Linked DNA regions of Macaca fascicularis. The protein of the gene in region 2 interacts with the protein of the main gene of each other region in a pairwise test. Links are inferred from orthologs where the notes say so. Each region holds a gene or a part of one and is shown on either strand. Other genes may lie near its edges.

The links.
Region 1: the proteins of SDCBP (region 2) and FAM9B interact in binary tests that used the Homo sapiens proteins (3 or more experiments, as listed by UniProt). The two-hybrid records come from large-scale screens. The link is inferred for Macaca fascicularis from reciprocal best matches to the Homo sapiens genes SDCBP and FAM9B.
Region 3: the proteins of SDCBP (region 2) and ZCCHC17 interact in binary tests that used the Homo sapiens proteins (3 or more experiments, as listed by UniProt). The two-hybrid records come from large-scale screens. The link is inferred for Macaca fascicularis from reciprocal best matches to the Homo sapiens genes SDCBP and ZCCHC17.

What each region holds. Positions count from the first base shown.
Region 1 is NC_088395.1:8,686,132-8,689,880, forward strand, and holds the start of FAM9B (protein FAM9B), read right to left. Parts: upstream 2,326-3,749; 5' UTR 2,041-2,325; intron 1,284-2,040; 5' UTR 1,195-1,283; coding exon 1,167-1,194; intron 665-1,166; coding exon 544-664; intron 365-543; coding exon 333-364; intron 1-332. UniProt on the Homo sapiens protein: May play a role in meiosis.
Region 2 is NC_088382.1:68,560,220-68,563,868, forward strand, and holds the end of SDCBP (syntenin-1), read left to right. Parts: intron 1-602; coding exon 603-694; intron 695-2,081; coding exon 2,082-2,136; 3' UTR 2,137-3,235; downstream 3,236-3,649. UniProt on the Homo sapiens protein: Multifunctional adapter protein involved in diverse array of functions including trafficking of transmembrane proteins, neuro and immunomodulation, exosome biogenesis, and tumorigenesis.
Region 3 is NC_088375.1:203,712,025-203,715,773, reverse strand, and holds the start of ZCCHC17 (zinc finger CCHC domain-containing protein 17), read left to right. Parts: upstream 1-1,306; 5' UTR 1,307-1,523; intron 1,524-3,749. Other genes in the region: SNRNP40 (U5 small nuclear ribonucleoprotein 40 kDa protein), read right to left, coding at 920-1,060.

The DNA of each region.
Region 1 (3,749 bases), on a different chromosome or scaffold from region 2:
ATGACTTAATCTGCGTACACTAAAAGGAACGAATAGAGCTATTTCTCCTCCAATGTCCTCTAATATTCTCCAAACAATTAAATTTCCACGTGTATGAAAGAAAAGCCATCCATCTCGCTTCACCATTATTAGAAGCATTCTCACATTCCACATCAACAATCAAAGAGGTAAGAAAAATTTATCAAACAGATTACATTAAATACGTATGTTAAATGCTACATATGATAAGCCATTTAAGACAGTCTTGTCATCCACTGATTCATATAACTTACTGCAACAGTTGCATGATTGAAAACAATTTTCATAAACGACAGATAACTCCTAAAATATACCTGCAGTATCTTCTGGCTTCTTGGTATTAGCCCTGTAAAAAAAGTTACATCAAAATTTTAGCATAATACTACACAAAATGCCATGTTTGTTGGGAAAAGAAATGTCTTATGTGAAATGTTCTGCACAGAATAGAACAGTGATGACATGGTCCAAAGGTGACTTTTCCTAAAAGACCCTATCCGACAGGCAAAAGTGACTTAAACACTTTACCCCGTGTGCTCGTCTTTTTCAGCAAAAGGTTCTCTTTCCCCATGCTCATCAGTTACATCTTCCTCCCTTGTTTCTGTAAAAGGGTTTCTTTCCTCACATTCGTCACTGACTGGATCCTTTCCTGCATTAAAATTTAAAAGACAAACCTTTTTTAGAGGAAGACACTGTTGTGGACTTTTTTTGTGGAGAAATGTACTAGTTGTAGACTTTTTTTTTTTTTTTTTTTTTTTGGCTATCTGCCAATTAAGGCTTTAAAGCAGAGCTGTACATGGAATCACCGGCTTCTGACCATTTTATCAAGGCACTTTTGGAAGCCCTTCGGGTTCAAGTCCCAGTAAACAACGTACTACACGTCAGACCCCTTGGATGTCATGACTGCACTCATGGAGAAGAGCTGCTCTGGGAGCATCTGTAACCCCGCTATGAGGGGAGCCTTTTACGGGAAGCCTAAGGCCCTTGAGCCTGCTTTGAAAACCTGGGGCATCTTAGCACGTGCACGATGGACTCCAAAGCCACGAAGGGGCCCGGGTCCTTGGGCTACCCCTGTGCCCCCAGCGCAGAAAGCAGACAGACCGTCCTCTTGGGCGTGCACTTTCTTCCGGGTCACCTTGGGCTGTATTTACCTGCACGCTCCTTCCCCTGGGCCGCCATAAATTGAGCCTCCAACTGGGCCTTGGCAGCCCTCCTGCCCACAGGATCCGTGGCTGGCTGTCCTGGGAAGCTACAGGTGATCCCTGAACCTGATGAGGGCAAAGGCACACTAAGGAAGCAAAGGAACCCTGGCATCGGAAAGGAAAGCCATTGGGATCACAGGTTTAAGAAGGGTGGGGCTGGCACGCCCTGGGCCTCCTGTGGGAGCAGGAGGGGACCGAAAAGATGCCAGTGTCCCCTCCTGTCCTGGCCCGTCCAGCCCGTCCAGCCCGTCCCCGGGGCTGGCTGCAGAGCTCACAGCTGCCCCTCACACCTGAACTCCACGGCGTCTGCGGGATCCTCGCCGCACCTTTGGGACAGAACTCAGCCCTACCTCTGGGTCCCCCAGCGACCCCGTGTGGCTGGGAGGGCCACCGGGTGACACAGGATCTCCCCAGCCACCTCCAGAGGAATGTCAGGGGCTGCACTGTCACTCACCCGCCTGGATGCACAGGGGACCCCTGATGACCCCAAGTGTCCTGTCCTGACGGGAGGCCGGGCAGGAGGGCCCCACTCAGACTGTCCCCAACAACACCCTCGCCCCACCCCCACTTCCCCCCACCTTCCGCACCTCCCCCCAACACATGCACAAGCCCTCCTGGGCCCTAGGGATCACCCAGGCGGCTCCAGCTCCCTCCCTGCCCTGGCCCACCCCAGCCCACCCTCAGGGCCTCGCCCTGACCCAGGCCCCAGGCGACCACGCCAGGGGCATTTCCTCACAGGTCAGCGGGCGGCCCAGCGCTTCACACCCTGGTTCCCAGAGGGCCTCGTGCCTGCGTTTCCGCCTCCCCACCGCGAGCGCTTCACCTGAGGGACCCCTGATGTGGCGCCCTCAAAGAACCTGCAGACAACAGCACCACTAGGATCTCTTAGAAAACGGGTCCTCTCAGGAGGCTGAGGCAGAATGATTGCTTGACCCCGGGAGGCGGAAGTTGCAGTGAGCCCAGATCGCGCGGCTGCACTGCAGCCTGGGCGGCAAGAGCCAGACTGTCTCAAAAAACAAAAAACAAAAAACAAAAAAGAAAACAAGTACTCAGTTCTCGTGAGAGCTGCCGACAGCACTTCCTACGCTCCTCGCAGATTGGTCGACTCAGTGCACATGCGTGTGACAGGCCGTGTGGGGCCACGCCCCCTGCTGGCACGCCCTCCCCCTTCCCCTAAGTGACAGCAAGTGGTTGCTGTGGACTGAGGTGGGGTTGGCCCTTTGGGGCCTCTGTTCCCACATTCTTTCAGCTTCTGCTCCTGGGGAGGGACACAGGACTTGGTATGGAGGCCAAGTGGACAGGGCCTAGAACCTCGCCCTGGGGCTCTTTCCAGCCACCCCTGCCCCTTTGGCTAGAATGGCCATCATCCTATGGGTTGGGCCCAGGCTCCCTCCCATGCCCTGTGTGCTTCCAACATGCCCAGCTGCATCCTTTTCAATCAATGGATTGTGCTTTTATTGTTTTTGTTTGTTTTTGAGACTGTGTCTCACTCTATCGCCTAGGCTGGAGTGCAGCAGGGTGATCTCAGCTCACTGCAACCTCCGCTTCCCGGGTTCAAGTGATTCTCCTGCCTCAGCCTCCCAAGGAGCTGGAATTACAGGAGCCCAACACCAAGCCCTGCTAATTTTTTTTTTTTTTTTAGTAGAGACGAGGTTTCACCATGTTGTCCAGGCTGGTGTCAAACTCCTGACCTCAGTTGATCTGCACGCCTTGGCCTCCCAAAGTGCTAGGATTACAGGCATGAGCCACCGTGCCCTGCCCATAACCATTTTTGTTTCCTCACTACTTTTCTTTCTCATCCTCATGCCCCAGACTTGCCCACAAACCCTCATGCTCCAGACTTATCCAGACATATGCCACAACCTTCACCCACAAATTAATGCCTTAATACTTATCGTTAACTCAGCTTTTTCCCACCTCCAGTCGCCTATAATAGGGGGAGAGTTGTTTTGGAGTTAGGAGTAAATAAATATTGCCTAAAGTTTGTAAATCAAGATATAGAGTTTCATTATATTATTGAAATTATATCCCAGCACTTTGGGAGGCTGAGACGGGCAGATCACAAGGTCAGGAGATCGAGACCATCCTGACTAACACGGTGAAACCCTGGCGACAGAGCGAGACTCCACCTCAAAAAAAAAGAAAAGAAAAGAAATTACAAAGGCAGTCATCAGGAAAACTAATCCACAGCCTTAAATGTCTATATAACCAAAAAGAGCACACACAAAGAACACAAATCCTGTAGTAAAAGTTGGAAAATAAAGAAAATACTCCAGAGACCATAACATAAAGGAACAAAATTAAGGCCAAGTGAATCTGTTGAGCAAGAAATATGAATGAGATAAACTCAGAATCTAAAGGAAATGACTTCCAACTTGGATCAAAATAAAAATCTAAGTATATGCTGTATGTAAGAATGGAGCTAAAACAAAATGATACAAAAAATACATGTCAGACAAATATGAAGAAAAGGAAAATATGGATCTGGGAATTGATAGCTCGCAAATGTAAAATAATGCAAAAAATAAATGA
Region 2 (3,649 bases):
TAGTATTGTATATGGGGAAAATTATTTAATATTCAGAAAGGAAAAGGGTTTTTTTTTTTTGACTAAAATATTCAACTCAGTTTACTTAAGCAAACTGGTTACTAGCTGTAAAATAGTGTACAATTAAACTTGGTAAGAAATACTAGAAAAAAATGCCGGGCGCAGTGGCTCACGCCTGTAATCCCAGCACTTTGGGAGGCCGAGGCGGGCGGATCACAAGGTCAGGAGATCGAGACCACGGTGAAACCCCGTCTCTACTAAAAATACAAAAAATTAGCCGGGCGCGGTTGTGGGCGCCTGTAGTCCCAGCTACTCGGGAGGCTGAGGCAGGAGAATGGCGTGAATCCGGGAGGCGGAGCTTGCAGTGAGCCGAGATCGCGCCACTGCACTCCAGCCTGGGCGACAGAGCGAGACTCCGTCTCAAAAAAAAAAAAAAAAAAAGAAATACTAGAAAAAAATTAGAAATACCAAGCAGGATTTTAGAGATCTTAACAAAACATAACAGGACATATATTTTGTATTTCTTTACCAAGACTGGCATAATTTTGTATTTATTAAATAAAGCCTCTGTGGAATTGATTTTTAATATGTGTTTTTATCAGGACTCTCAAATTGCAGACATACTATCAACATCTGGGACTGTAGTTACTATTACAATCATGCCTGCTTTTATCTTTGAACATATTATTAAGCGGTAAGTAAACAATTCCTCAACTTAATGCATATGGTCGTGTGACTTAATGTAAGCACTATAGTTTAATTCTCAGCCCTTTGGGTCTTTTACCTAAGGAATGAATACTGGTGTTTATCTAGAAATTTGAAGTAAGTTATTTAAGTCAGCGGGGTTGGTAAGGATGAGCTCTTACAACTTCCCAAGTATGGAATAAAATCCACATATACTTTCCTCAGTTTTGATATTGCCTAGTAGAAGAATGCAAGGAAAAGTGGGCATGCTTTTAGCTTTCAATTTGCAGTACAATTGACTGCAGTTGTACTGCCTGCCACTCCTCTGCTCAGTATAAATATAGTTGTAGTGGTTCGTAATGGAGAATTCTTGCTGGTGGAATGCTAGGAGTAAGTTTCCCTTCTCTCCAGAATCTCAGGAAGCAGATAGACATGTGTGGTGTGTTGGTGCTATCTGTGCTCAGGAACTGAGGATTAGAAAGCCAAGTGATCAGAAATGAAAAGAGGCAACAAGGTTACTTCTATACAGCTTTTCGTATCCTAGCATCTACCATAGCTGTTTTTGTCAAGCCAGCTTGGAATCCTTCTTTCAGAACCTCTATCATGCATGTGAAAATGAGATTTAAAAGATTCATAAACATAACCATTGTAATGAAATTTGTATGTTGGCTTCTGGATAGAATGCACCTCCCTACGCTTCGAGGGGGTAAAAAGGAGTTATTGTCATGACTAATTGTTCTAAGGTTCTCTTTTTTTAAATCACTGATGGATCCCTCTACCCCAACTCATCACAGCCGTGTCATTTTCTGTTTTTTAAAATTCACCAGGTTTGGCCGGGCGTGGTGGCTCAAGCCTGTAATCCCAGCACTTTGGGAGGCCGAGACGGGTGGATCACGAGGGTCAGGAGATCGAGACCATCATGGCTAACACAGTGAAACCCCGTCTCTACTAAAAAATACAAAAAACTAGCTGAGCGAGGTGGCGGGCGCCTGTAGTCCCAGCTACTCGGGAGGCTGAGGCAGGAGAATGGCGTGAACCCAGGAGGCGGAGCTTGCAGTGAGCTGAGATCCAGCCACTGCACTCCAGCCTGGGCAAGAGAGCCAGACTCCGCCTCAAAAAAAAAAAAAAAAAAAAAATCACCAGGTTTAATGTACAAGAATTCATTTGTATCCTAACTTCTCTAGCCAAATACAGATAGCCTTTCCCACTGAGGGTCTGTCAACAACTAGATTACCAGAGATGCTTCTGGACTCATTTAAAAGATCTTTCCTTCTCTCCATTCACATTTGATGCTAACAGGTGCTAAATTGGAATTGGGAATTTTCTTGGATTAACATAGCATTTTCGGGGGGGGGGGGACAGAATCTCAGTATATAATAAAAGCACCTCTTTTGTAGGATGGCACCAAGCATCATGAAAAGCCTAATGGACCACACCATTCCTGAGGTTTAAAATTCACGGCACCATGGAAATGCAGCTGAACGTCTCCAGTTTCCTTCTTTGGCAACTTCTGTATTATGCACATGAAGCTTTCCCGGAGCCAGCAAGCATATGCTGCATGAGGACTTTTCTATCTTACATTATGGCTGGGAATCTTACTATTTTCATCTGATACCTTGTTCAGATTTCAAAATAGTTGTAGCCTTATCCTGGTTTTACAGATGTGAAACTTTCAAGAGATTTACTGACTTTCCTAGAACAGTTTCTCTACTGGAAACCTGATGCTTTTATAAGCCATTGTGATTAGGATGACTGATACAGGCTTAGCTTTGTGTGAAAACCAGTCACCTTTCTCCTAGGTAATGAGTAGTGCTGTTCATATTACTTTAGTTCTATAGCATATTTGCATTTTTAACATGCTACCATAGTACATTTAGAATGATTGCCTTTGATTTTTTAAAAAAATTCTGTGTGTGTATAAAATGCCAATTAAGAACACTGGTTTCATTCCATGTAAGCATTAAACAGTGTATGTAGGTTGCAAGAGATTGTGATGATTCTTAAATTTTAACTACCTTCATTTAATATGCTTAAACTGTCGCCTTAACTATGTTAAGCATCTAGACTAAAAGCCAAAATATAATTATTGCTGCCTTTCTAAAACCCAAAATGTAGATCTCTATTAACCTGAAATGTACACTAGCCCAGAACAGTTTAATGGTACTTACTGAGCTATAGCATAGCTGCTTAGTTGTTTTTGAGATTTTTTAGTCAATGCATAATGGAAACTTCTTTCTTCTAAAAGTTGCCAGCACCACTTTGTGAGAAGTGAATCACTATATATTTAATGTAAAAGTTATTACACTAAACAGGATAAACTTTTGACTCCTCTTTTGTTCATTTGTGGATTAAGTGGTATAATACTTAATTTTGGCATTTGACTCTTAAGATTATGTAACCTAGCTACTTTGGGATGGTCTTAGAATATTTTTCTGGTAACTTGTTCCATTTCCTGACTCCTTGCAAACAAAATGATAGTGACATTTTATCCTGAGTTTTTTCTTCTTTTTGGTTTATGGCTATTCTAATTAAATATGTATACATAAAGTTACATTTTAGTCTGTCTGTTACTGCATCATTTGCTTTCACCAAACTTATGCATGATCTAGAAGATAGGCAGGTGAAATTCACTTTCAGCTATGGGAGACATCATTTCCCAGAACAAGCTGACATTCAGGGGCCCTAAGAACAGCTCACAGTGCTGAGACTGAGTGTCAGGAAAATTGCTTCCAGCTGGGAACCCCAGATTACCAGGGCCAAGAGAGCTGGTTCACCCCTGCCATGCAGCAGGAACTCATTGAGGCTACTGACTGTCCCTAGCAATACCTGAGACCAGATAATACTTAATAACACTTGAAACTGACTTTGAAAATTCTATTAGTATGGTCTGACTCAAGTTTTTTCTCCTATATCATACTACTTGTAAGATACAACAGTGTTTTTAAAGAGTACAGAAACAATAAGT
Region 3 (3,749 bases), on a different chromosome or scaffold from region 2:
GATCCGTTGTTTAGAAGGATTCCTTTGGTTATTGGCTTGGTAACAGGTGCTGCTACAAAGGCAGAAAGTGGAAGACCAGTTAGGGTCCCACTACAAAAATGCCAGATGAGATAATAACGGCTTAGGCCATGAGGCAGTGATGGAAATGGTAGAAGTAGCAATTCTAGATCTATTTTGAGAACGGTGCCAGCAGGATTTATTGAGGAGATGAGAGGACACTCGTATTTCCTCGTCTGAGCCTAAACAGGGCATTAGAAGTGTGATCACTATTTCCATCTTACAAAAAATATAGTTAGGAGCATGGTTTCTCAGTTCAACATCTGTTTCTATCACGTGCTTGATAAGTCTGCTTTTCCATCTGCAAAATGGGTTAATAACGTTCCTAACAGGCTGCTACCAAGATCAATGGAAATTTCATATACGAAACACCTTAGTACAAGAGTCAACGAATGTTAGCTGCTATTCAGTTGTTAATAATACTAGTGCAGAGAAATAAAGGGAAAAGCAACTTGCCCAAAGTCCCAAAACGAGCCAACACCAATCATTTCCCTCTTTTCCTCCCTCCCTCATTCATTCATTCTACAAAGTCTTCGGAATTTCTGTTCTACGCTAGATCCATGTTAGAGTCAGGATGCTTAAGCCCGGGTCCGGGTTGTGAGCCCAAGGTTCTCAACGCTAATTCTAACGCTACCTCACAAGGCAGTCGAGAGGCTGAAAACCAGCGCCAAACGGGCGAACAAGTACTGAGCATCCGCAGGCTATGAGGCGCTTTTACAATGTTGGTGTGCTTTAACTCTAGGTAGAAACTCTCGTTCTGCCCCCCGCAATGCGGGAAGGGTCGGTGCCGGGTCACCAGATACAGCGCTCTGAGGGGAGGAAGATGAGCTGAGGGCCAAAGGCCGCCTGCTTCTTCACTTACCGCTTGCAGCAAAGCTCCCGGCGTCGCCTGCTGCTGCCCGGCTCCCGGGCCCGACCCCGCTCCCAGTAGCAACTCATGCCGCTGCCGCTTGACTGGAACCAGCGGCAACTCTGGGCCCTTACGCTTCTGTTGTTCTATCATGGCGGCAACCGGTCTCTTCAGCGCCGCCACTGACCGCGCTGCCCCCCTCAGGCGCCACGCAATTGGTTCCAGCTTAGTCCTTCCTCCACAACTTCCAGCTTGGAAGAACCAATCGGTTTTCAATATACCCATTTGCACTGCCCTCGGATAGTCTCTTGTTATTGGGCATATCTTTCTGACGTCATGAGAGTGCGATTCCAGGATTGGTGGACGGAGCTGGCGACCTCCCTAGGCGCGCTGGGTCTTGTGGGTGGAAACGCGCTGGCTGACTGGGCTCGGCGTTTAGTTCAGCGCCGGGACTCGGGGGCCTGGAGCTGACGCCTAGTACGTATGAGGAAGAGCTGGGTGGGTGGCAGCCTGAGTCTGAAGGCGACGCCTCGGTTGTGCAGTCTGAAGCTGCCCTTCTCAGCTGAGGGTGCCGATAGCAAGGGGTGGGAGGCGGGGCCCCGAGTCCCCAGCTGTGGTAAGTAGTAGCATGGGCTCCCTTTCCGGGCGGGAGCGGAGCCTTGGGGGTCTCTGGCGGCAAGACCCAGTCCCTGCGGCTCCCTTCTTCAAGAGCGCCCGTCGTGGCCAGTCCTGTGCCGGGCATTCCCAGGGAGAAAGGCCTGTGTTCCAACTTCCTCCGGCGCCCCGTTTGGCCGAGGAGGCTGACTTGTTTCTGCCACTGATTTTGCAGTTTTTGATTAGGGCCTAGTCTCTGCCCCCCTGAGAGAGACAATGATGAAGGAAATGTCCGACTCCTTCTCCAGAGCGCAGTCTTGTTGAGAAATTTGAGACTCATGCCCATGAACGTGGTCATTGCGTCAGTCGTCCAGCTGATATTTATTTAGCAGCGCGTTGGGGGTACGTCGTGAACCAGACACGGTCCCTACTCTCAGGGCGTTTAAGTCTGGTGGGGAAAACGTTAAACAATGACCTCACTAATACATGGAAATGCCTCCTAGTGCTGTTTGATGCTGAGTGCCTGAAATAAGCAGGAAGGTTTTTCAGAGGAAAAGATGCCTGCTCTGGTAGCTGCAGGAAGAATTGTAATTAATTAAGTGAAGAGGTAAAGGCAGAACCTTCCGTAGAGAACTACTTGTTCAGAGCCCTGAGGCACTTGGGAGGAAAAATGACTAAAAGCACAAAGAGCCAGTGTGACTGATACAAAGAGAATGAAGGGGAGTATGGTACAAGATGAAGCTGTACGTGATAGCGGTCAGACCTTGCAGGAATTTGTAGCTTTATTTTAAAACGGATGGGATACCACTGAGCCGTCTTCCCCCGGTGGGGTGTGGTGGAGGAGGGGGCTTGATTTCTCAGGCTCAGTGGTGTGAACAGATTGGGGCTGGGGAAGCCCTAGTCGATACATGTGGACCACTTAGGATATACAGTAATCCTGGTCAGAGATGTCAGTGAGGACTGAGAAGTGGGTGGAACTGCAGAGAATTGGACAGATTCTAGAGGTATGTAGGAGGTAAAATGGGCGGAACTTGGTGAAGGGTTGATTTTAGTGAGTGAAGACAGGAATCAAAGGTAACTCATAGGTTTCTGGCTAATGTAGTTGAATAGATAGATGGTGGTACCATTTACTCACTATCACGGAATCCCCCAAGCTGGATAGGGAACACTAGAAGACGACTAGAGACCAGTTTTTTTTGTGTTTTTTTTTTTTTTTTTTTTTTTTTTTGTGGGGGACAGGTTCTTGCTCTGTCGCCCAGGCTGGAGTGCGGTGGCACAATCTCGGCTCACTGCAACCTCCACCTCCCAGGTTCAAGCAATTCTCCTGCCTTAGCCTCCCCAGTAGCTGGGATTACAGTCGCCACCGCTATGCCCGGCCAATTTTTGTATTTTTATTGGAGATGGGGTTCCACCGTATTGGCCAGGCTGGTCTCCAACTCCTGGCCTCAAGTATCCACATGCCTCGGCCTCCCAAAATTCTGGGGTTACAGGCTTGAGCCACTGCTCCCAGCTGAGACCAGTTTTGACTGATTGATTGATTGTGTGGGGTCATTCATGATATCCAGGAGGCAGTTTGAAACACAGCTTTGTGCTCAGAAGAGAGATTTGTGTTGGGAATATAAAATTGGGGATAATTTGTATGTATGTGAATTGAGCCATAGGTGTGGATAAGGTCACCTAAGTCAGAACCTTGACTAGTTCCAACATTTAATGGTGAAGAACAGGTGGATCAACCTACAGGAGATACAGAAGGAAGGAAGGAAGACTGGAGGAATGTTTCAGAAGCAAAAGAATGATTTGTGATAGAAACTTCTAGAATTTAAATAACATGAAGATTGAAAAATATATTTTGGCTTTTATCATTGTGGAGGTCATGGTAACGTTAGCAAGAGTTATTTTGTTGGTGTGATTGGGCAAAAAGCCAGATATGAGGCAAGGATTTGGACAAGAAAATGTAGGTAGTGAACCTACACAGTATGTTTCATAGATATGATTGTAAAGAGGAGGAGAGGATGCGCTAACCGATGGAGATAAGGGATTATCCAGGATCCAATTGAGGATACAATTGTGAGAAATTTGAGAATATTGTAGAAGATTTGAAAGTCATTGTGGAGTGTGGGAGAATGAGGTTACTAGAGAAATAGTAGGATGCAAGGAAAAAAAAATTAAAAACTTTTTTCCAGCATATTCAGTGGTTTAGTGCATACATGGAGAAAACCTGTCTGGGTATGGCAAGGACATCGCTTGC